Ovis aries: one gene and its partner. Each later gene encodes a partner of the first gene's protein in a complex. Links are inferred from orthologs where the notes say so. Each region holds a gene or a part of one and is shown in the gene's direction. Other genes may lie near its edges.

Region 1 (4,010 bases):
CGAGTGCATTATAGCTCATCGTGCTAAGTAACGCACACTGTGACGGGAAGAAAAAATTATCTTCCTCTGGGGGAGTTGATAGAAGGTCTCATAGGAAGAGACATTTCCATTAATCTTGAAACCTAAGTAGGTGTCTGCCAATCAGAAGGCAGTACGGGAAGAATAGGGCATCTGAGTAAAGGGAATCCAGTGTGCAGAGGCTCTGAATAATTGAGGAACATTCTGATACGTTCCGGGAGGTCTGACGGGTTAGATGGGCTTAGATGCGTGGTGCATTGAGTACACCACACTTTGATGAGGTCAAACTGTGAGGGCCTATGTGGAGAGGACTGAATTTTATTCTAGAGGCAAGAAGAGAGAGGGGAGACTCTTTAAGCAGGGGAGTTGAACAATCAGAGTTTTCTGTTACATGTCTATTGTCATTGACGTCATGAAACGGCTCCAAACTTGCGGACACAGCCGGGAAAGGAGAGGGCGCGACAGACTGCCAGCGTACCACTGACATGTATACACCACCATGTGTAAAAAGCGATTAATAGCTCGTGGGTAGTTGCTGTAGCGCACAGGGAGCTCAGGTCGGGGTTCTCTGACAACCTAGAGGGGTGGGATAGAGGTGGGGTTGGAGGGGGGCTCAAGACGGAGGGGACTTATGTACACTTACAGCTGATTCATGTTGTCGTAGAGCAGAAACTAACATAACATTGTAAAGCGCTTATACTCCAATTAAAAATAAATTAAAAACAATAGCAAACAAAAAACAAAGGGCTCTGGGTTTTGGAGTCTTAAAGGGGTGCGCCCTACTCGTTTAACTGAAGGTGCTCAGGGTAGCCTTTCAATAAAGACCACTCTGCTAATTCATTTTATTCATTTCTCCTACCTGTCCTCCAAATGCTGTCTTTCTCTCCTTGGCCTGGATTGGACATACACTGACAGCCTTTGTCTCTTTAAACCCCGTTTTTCTGTTTTGACACTTTCTTCTGTTACTCTGACCTGGTCTTTATATGTACTGCTGATGTTTGCGCCCATCCCAACCTCGTTTTCAATTACTCAGACACAGTCCCTGGAAGTAGCCACGCCCACTCAAGAAGGTGCACGCCGATGAAGTTTGTCCTCAGTAGCGCGCCGTACTGACGGCCGCAGTGCGCAGGCGCAGTTCCCCGCTGCCGGCCGTGTGTGTTCTTCTTTCCCAGGGCTCCCGGCATCCCGGAAGTTGGACCGCGGGCTCTTCACAGTCAACCTCCGGCCAGGGTTCGCCGTGTGCTTCGCTCCCTCGTCCCGCAGTCACCCGCTCCCGGGGCCGCTGCTCTAAGTCCGCAGGTCTCCGCCGGCGACAGACCCATGGCCGAGCGCGGAGAACTCGACCTGACTGGCGCCAAACAGAACACCGGAGTGTGGCTGGTCAAGGTAAGGTTTGCGTGGCTCTCGCTTTTAAAGTAGTTTAAGTGACTTGAGGGGAGAAGGAACTGGCAACCCACTCCAGTACTCTTGCCTGGGAAATTCCATGGACGGAGGAGCCTGGTGGGCTACAGTCCATGGGGTCTCAAAGGGTCGGATACGACTGAGCGACTTCACTTTCTTTCTATAGTTCCTTTGGGAGAAGGAAGTGGCAACCCACTGCGGTGTTCTTGCCTGGAGAACCCCATGGACAGAGGGGCCTGGTGGGCTGCAGTCTATGGGGTTATAAAGAGTCGGACACGACTGAGCAACTAACATACACGCGCGCGCACACACACGCACACACACACACGTAACTTGAGACCGTCCCACTTTGTGCACCTTTTAAAACTCATTAGGGCTCTCTCGTTTAGAACTTCGCTTACCTTGAGAGGCAGGGTTGGTTGGTAGGCTTGTTTGCAGACGAGGACATTAGTTCAGGGACACCCAGTGTGTTTTAGCCAACTAAGAGTCTGAACGTGCCTGGAATGGATCTCCTTATCCCACGACCTGGTTTTTCTGGGCTCCTGTCTTGATGGCCCCCCAGTTTGAGCATTTTATCCCAGGCTGAAGAATTTCTTCATCTCCACTTGCTGAAACTGATTTCAGTCATCAATCTCTATAAGAAAGTTGAGCGTTTGCTTTCTGGGTAGTTTTCTGAGCCAGAAAGTAGAACTGTTCTCTGAGTACCCTGGTGGCTCAGATGGTAAAGCATCTGCCTGCAATTCAGGAGACCCAGGTTCGATCCCTGGGTGGGGAAGATCCCCTGGAGAAGGGAATGGCAGCCCACTTCAGTATCCTTGCCTGGAAAATCCCTTTTGAAGGAGCCTGATAAGTTACAGTCCATGGGGTCCCAAAGAGTTGGACAGGACTAAGTGACTTCACTTTCACTCGTAAGGTGTTCTTTTAGGTTGATGGGTCTTATGGAGTTCCCAGGAGAGGTGAGAGTGCTCTGAACTCAGGGAAGGAGAGACTGTGGACTGGAGTGTTCTTTTAGAGTTCGATTGTGTCTCAGGTGAAACTGTCAGTAATTTTTTTTTTTTTTGGTAAAGGCAGCATTTTGATTAACCCTTAGTAAGTACTTACTGAGCTTCCCTTGTGGCTCAGCTGGTAAGGAATCCACTTGCAATGTGGGAGACCTAGGTTCGATCCCTGGGTTGGGAAGATCCCCTGGAGGAGGGAAAGGCTACCCACTCCGGTATTCTGGCCTAGAGAATTCCATGGACTGTATAGTCCATGGGGTCGCAAAGAGTCAGACACTGAGCAACCTTCACTTCTTCACTTAGTGAGTACACTATTTATCCCTTACTTTTTCAAATTGGGGACTGTTGTTTCTTAGGAAGTTTTCATAAGACATGTGTATATTCAAAATGTGATTATGATAGTCTTGAAAACTCAAGTAAAACATAGAGACCTTTATTTGTTAGATTTTTGGAAAGCTTTTATCACACGTCTGAGTGTTTATCAGTTAAATCTGAGAGGCCCTTCTAGTCTTCCTCTCTGATGTAGCTCCCTTATGATTCAGTTCGGTCGCTCAGTTGTGTCTGACTCTGCGACCCCATGAACTGCAGCACACCAGGCTTCTTTGTCCATCACCGATTCCCGGAGCTTACTCAAACTCATGTTCATTGAGTCGGTGATGCCATCCAACCATCTCATCTTCTGTAGTCCCCTGCTCCTGCCCTTATGATTATTCACTAGCATGTTGAGCCTGTATTAACATTCTTCAAAGCACATGCACAGTCATATTTCGCGAGAGTAGGCGTCTTGCCTGTCACCCAGAACTGTGTTTGGTGTAAGGTAAATAGCTCAGATAATGTGATGTATGCATGCATGAATGAATGACTGAATGAACTCTTATTCTTCAACCCTAGCCTTAATCTCTGGTGCTGCTTTGACTTATCACAGTGATATCAGTGTGATTTAAAATGATGGAGTAACCAAGTATCTCTCTCCTCCTGCATGCTAGATGGAGAGAGATCATTAGGGAGGAGATCTCCTTTGCAGATGGAAAGAGCTTGAAAAGGTGGCGAGAGCTTGAGGTGATGTGTTTCTGCTTGGAGCGCAGTAGATGCTCAATAAATGTTTGCCTTACAGAGGTTTGGATGGGGGGCCATAGTATCTCCGTAGCATACCATGGAGAGTGGTTCTGAAATGCAGGAGTGAGAATGCACAGTAATGTGGTGTGGGCTGGAAAACAAAGAGGACATCATGCCTGGAGTAGCGGATTGGGACCGTATACTGACATCATCACGTTGTGAAGTGGGAATGTTTTAACACTGCTGCTGCTGCTGCTAAGTCACTTCAGTCATGTCCGACTCTTCGTGACCCCATAGACGGCAGCCCACCAGGCTCCCCCGTCCCAGGGATTCTCCAGACAAGAACACTGGAGTGGGTTGCCATTTCCTTCTCTAATGCATGAAAGTGAAAAGTGAAAGTGAAGTCGCTCAGTCATGTCCGACTGTTTGAGACCCCATGGACTGCAGCCCACCAGGCTCCCCCGTCCATGGGATTTTTCAGGCAAGAGTACTGGAGTGGGGTGCCATTGCCTTCTCCAGTTTTAACTCTAGTCTACA
Region 2 (4,306 bases), on another chromosome or scaffold:
GGTCGGGAGGGGCTGGACAGGCCGGGGCTCGGTAGGGCCTGGGGCGGGGGCTGCCGAGCCGTCTAAATCAGATTCGGGCCCAATCCCTCAGCGGCGGTCCCCTCTCTTGCTTCACCGGAGGGGCCAACGGCTGACTGGCCAGGAAAGGTCCCTGTGCTCTGCTGGGGGGTGAAAAACAAAGCTAGGGGAGAACTCGGAGGGGGTCGCTAGGCCCAGAAACGGAGGTTGCTTGGAATTAGGACCCTCGGTCTCTCTCATCCCCTTCCTTTCTCCTTCCCTTCTTTGCGGGTCCCCCAGGAGCACCCCCAGGGAGGTGCACTTTGAGCCACCTGGCCTTCGGCTAGTGCGGGGGGTTGGGGTGGAGATGGGGAGGGAACGGGAATGGGTGAGGCCAGAGGGAAGGGAGGTCTAGGTGCCTGGGAGGCGGGCGTGGTGGGGACAGAGGTCGCTTCTCCCTGGCAGGGCCCAAAGAGAAACCGGAGTAGGTGCTGACGTCTAGCAGCCATGGGGGAACACGGCCTGCTGGGGCTTTGTGTTCTGTATGAGGGTCCGGAGGACAGAGCAGAGGGGGTGAGCACTAGTGTATGAGCAGCGTCAGGGAGAGTGTCAGGAGAGGCCAGTGCCCAGGAAACAGGCAGTGTGCAGGAGGAGGCAGCGCCGGGGTGAAGGGGCGCGCGGGAGGTCGCAGGGGGCTCCCGGGTAAGGGAGCAGTGCCCAGGAGGGGGCCGAAGTGAGAGCTGGCACCCTAGAGGAAGGGGCAATGTAAAGAAAGAGGTGGCATCTGTAGGATAGGGTAGTGCCAGGATGAAGAAGCCCGTAGGAGAGCTTGTCTAGAAGGAGAGGACCGTGGTAGCGGAAAGGGAAGAACAGAGCTTAAGGGGCAGGGCTCGAGGAGGGCAGTGGGTTTGGGGTTAATGCCCTGCTGAAGGGGTGGTGTGAGAGAAGAGAGCAGGAAAGGGGACGGTGCAGGCTTTCCTCTTCCCCATGGTGACATCATGGCAAATTCCCAAACTGGAGGGACCCGGCTCAGGTGACATCCAGCTGGGACGAGCCGGCCCGGGCCGGCCTGGGTGCCAGCAGGAAGGGCTGGGTTTTGCGCCCAGTCGGGCCAGCGCCCTGGGGGCGGGGTGCTGCTCCCCTCACTCTCTGTGCGGACTTGCCCTCGGCGGGCACGCAGACCGGCACAGTAAGGCTCGGGCCGGGCTTCTCTGGGCCAAGGATCAAGGTCCCTGGCTGGGGCAGGCCGCTTGAGCATTCCAGTCTTCCAGACCCGGCTTCTGAAGAGGGCGCAGTAGAGCCTCGGGAGAGAGCCGGACGCGACGCCACCTCTGTCGGAGGTGGGACCCATCGTGTCGCCGCCGGGGGCGGGGTTTTCTGGACCCGAAACCAGCCCTCAATTCTGAAACCTCTGGGAAACAATCGTTCGGGGCGGAAGTTAAGAAGCCCCGAGAGCTAGGCAGCGGAAGTGGCTGCGGTACAGTTCTTCTATGCGCATGCGTTATTGTATTCCTTTGCCGCTGCCGTTTCAGCGCTGCGTCGTCTTAGCGCGCCTCTTTTCCTCCACGCGAGGGGGTGCGCTACCCCTAGTCGTCGTGGTCAGCGCGCCCAGTCCCTCTGCTACTCTCGTGGCCCCCTCACCATGGCGGGCATCCTTTTTGAGGATATTTTTGATGTAAAAGACATTGACCCGGAAGGCAAAAAGTTTGACCGAGGTAAGCAAGGTTTGGAGGGGCGGTTTCGGGGGAAGGGGCTAATCTCCTCTGGTACCCGCCCCCAGGCTGCTTGTCCACCCACTTTCGCGTGGCCTTTCCCTACCGGTGGGTCCTGGTGTGGGGACCTCTCTCGAGAAATAATTTTATAGATAAGAAAACGGAGACTCCCGAGCTCTCCCTGGTTTCACACAAGCTGTGCTCGCTGCCTGGGTGGCCTTTTCTGCTGGTGCTGGTGGACTCCAGGCATCTTTTATAATCGCTCCCCGCTCTGGACCGGGCGCTGTACTTAACACTTCGCACGCGCTTTGTCTCACTTATTTTCTTCCAGGAGTAGGCGGTGTCTTACCCATTTTGCTCTGAGAGGCTAAGCAGCCCACCCAAGGTTGTACAGTGAATAATCCGACTTCACAACCCGTTCCTCAGAGTCTTTAGCTGTTTGTAAAATCTTCTCAGAGTTTAAGAGTAGACTGCTTGGTATACACCTCTTTATTCTGTCATTTATCAATAATTGTCCTGGGTGTCTCTTCCTTTGCCTGGACACTGATAAGTTCTTCGGGACAAACACCAGTTCTTACACATCTTGATAATCAATCCCCTTAGCACAGCACCTGACACAGGAAGAGGAAACCTTAGGATGAATGAATACCTTGCCCCAAATCAGGTTATTTCTTAATCACTTAGGTTGGCCTAGAACCTGGATATTATTTATTGCCAGAGGATCTTTGATTCTTTTCTGTGGATTCTGTCCACTGGCCACAGGTTGTCTCCCCTTTCCTTCCTGCATGTGTGATTCTGATTGAGCCTGTACTTCTGTGAGAGCAGATGAGAGGCCAGTGGATACAGACTGCATTAGACTGAGTATTCTGTTGCATCCAGGCCCCTGAAGTACCTGTCTGCCCTGCCCTGTAGGGTCTGCCCTGGGCCACAGGCAGTTAACTTCTGCCACTCTTCCCCTCCAGTGTCTCGGCTGCATTGTGAGAGTGAATCTTTCAAGATGGACCTCATCCTTGATGTAAACATTCAGATTTACCCGGTAGACTTGGGTAAGTATTGAACACAAACAGCAGGAGGCTTTATGCCATCTCAGCTGGTCTCCACCCTCTGCTACCGCTGTTGTTTTCAGGTGACAAGTTCCGGTTGGTCATAGCCAGTACCTTATATGAAGATGGTACTCTGGATGATGGTGAATACAACCCCACAGATGATAGGCCTTCCAGGTGAGGGGATGGAAAAGGGAGCACCTGAAATGTGCCTGAGGACTAAGTGGATAGGTGTATAGAAAAACCCTTACTTAATTCATGAAATAAATGATTATCAGCAGACTCTGTTAGCTTAAGAAAAGTGCAGCACTTAAGAATCCAGACATCCAGGTGTTTATCCAAAGCAGTGATTACAGTGTGAGTTGTCACTTTTTGATAGTGGAGGAAATGAGCACTGAATGACCTAGGCTCTGTGGGCCTTGTGTCTTGGGAGGGAGTTTGGTGTGATGGAAAGGCTTTGGACGCCCACTCAGTTCACATCTCAGCTCTACCACTTATTTGTTGGATAACCTTAACCTCCTTCAACCTTAGTTTTTTCTCATCAATAACATTGATGGTCATACCTAGCTCACAGGGTTGCTGTGAGGATTGAATGACATCACGTTTAGAAAGTGCCTGGTGTTATGATGCTGGCGTATAGTTACCAGTTACCATTTTTTTAAAGGGCCTCTTACTTTTGTTAACTGTATTTAAGAATAACTGCCCCTATTGTTCCACAGGGCTGACCAATTTGAGTATGTCATGTATGGGAAAGTGTACAGGATTGAGGGAGACGAAACTTCTACTGAAGCAGCAACACGCCTGTAAGTTCCTTGGTCTTGTGAGAGCCCTTTCCCTTCTCATTTTGTGAGAATTTGGGCTATGCTTTGAAAATCTGGACCATCCTCAGGCTCCCTGGATTTCTTTCTTCAAGCACCTCAGACCTAGCGGGACCCAGAAAGGAACTGTTTTGGGAACAGTTTCAGTCTGAAATGTAGGCTGGTCAGTTTGCCCTCTGTCAGGATCTTAAGGCCTGTGATCTAAATGAGAAACTGTTAATCTTGCTGAGTGAAATGCCAAGGAAAGTTACTTCTCCAAGAACTAAATGCAGCATAAGTGATTAAACTGCTAGGCTTTTTTGTTTGTGTGTGTGTGTGTGTTTTGCTACTCTGCAATCCAATCCCTAGTTCTTTGGTTTCTCTGCCCAACTATTTTTTCCTTTTCTTTAAAACCTTATTAAAACAATATGTGCCCTTTGCAAGAAATTTGAAAAGCAGAAAAGTAATATGAAGAAGGAAAAAAGTCACCTATAATTCTATAACCAGAGGGAATCTTCTACATAAACATTCTTGAATGTTCTAGGTTTTTTTTTTCCTATGTACTTTTTTCTTTGAGATCATGTTGTTTATTACAATGTTTTGTTCTGTTCCATTTGCTTAATGTTATGTAAAACATGTTTCCTCATGTCAATTTAAAGCTTTTCCTAAACATTTTTTTTAAATTCCTAAACATTTTTATAGCTGTGTAACATTCCAATAAATGGATGTATCTTAATTGATTTGACCATTTCCCTTA

The links. The genes of interacting proteins can lie anywhere in the genome.
Region 2: GTF2F2 (region 1) and POLR2H share a complex: the UniProt entries of both Homo sapiens proteins name them as parts of the TBP-based Pol II pre-initiation complex. The link is inferred for Ovis aries from reciprocal best matches to the Homo sapiens genes GTF2F2 and POLR2H.

What each region holds. Positions count from the first base shown.
Region 1 is NC_056063.1:15,657,268-15,661,277, forward strand, and holds the start of GTF2F2 (general transcription factor IIF subunit 2), read left to right. Parts: upstream 1-1,205; 5' UTR 1,206-1,338; coding exon 1,339-1,404; intron 1,405-4,010. UniProt on the Homo sapiens protein: TFIIF is a general transcription initiation factor that binds to RNA polymerase II and helps to recruit it to the initiation complex in collaboration with TFIIB.
Region 2 is NC_056054.1:203,612,169-203,616,474, reverse strand, and holds the start of POLR2H (DNA-directed RNA polymerases I, II, and III subunit RPABC3), read left to right. Parts: upstream 1-1,505; 5' UTR 1,506-1,639; coding exon 1,640-1,712; intron 1,713-2,671; coding exon 2,672-2,755; intron 2,756-2,835; coding exon 2,836-2,929; intron 2,930-3,471; coding exon 3,472-3,555; intron 3,556-4,306. UniProt on the Homo sapiens protein: DNA-dependent RNA polymerase catalyzes the transcription of DNA into RNA using the four ribonucleoside triphosphates as substrates.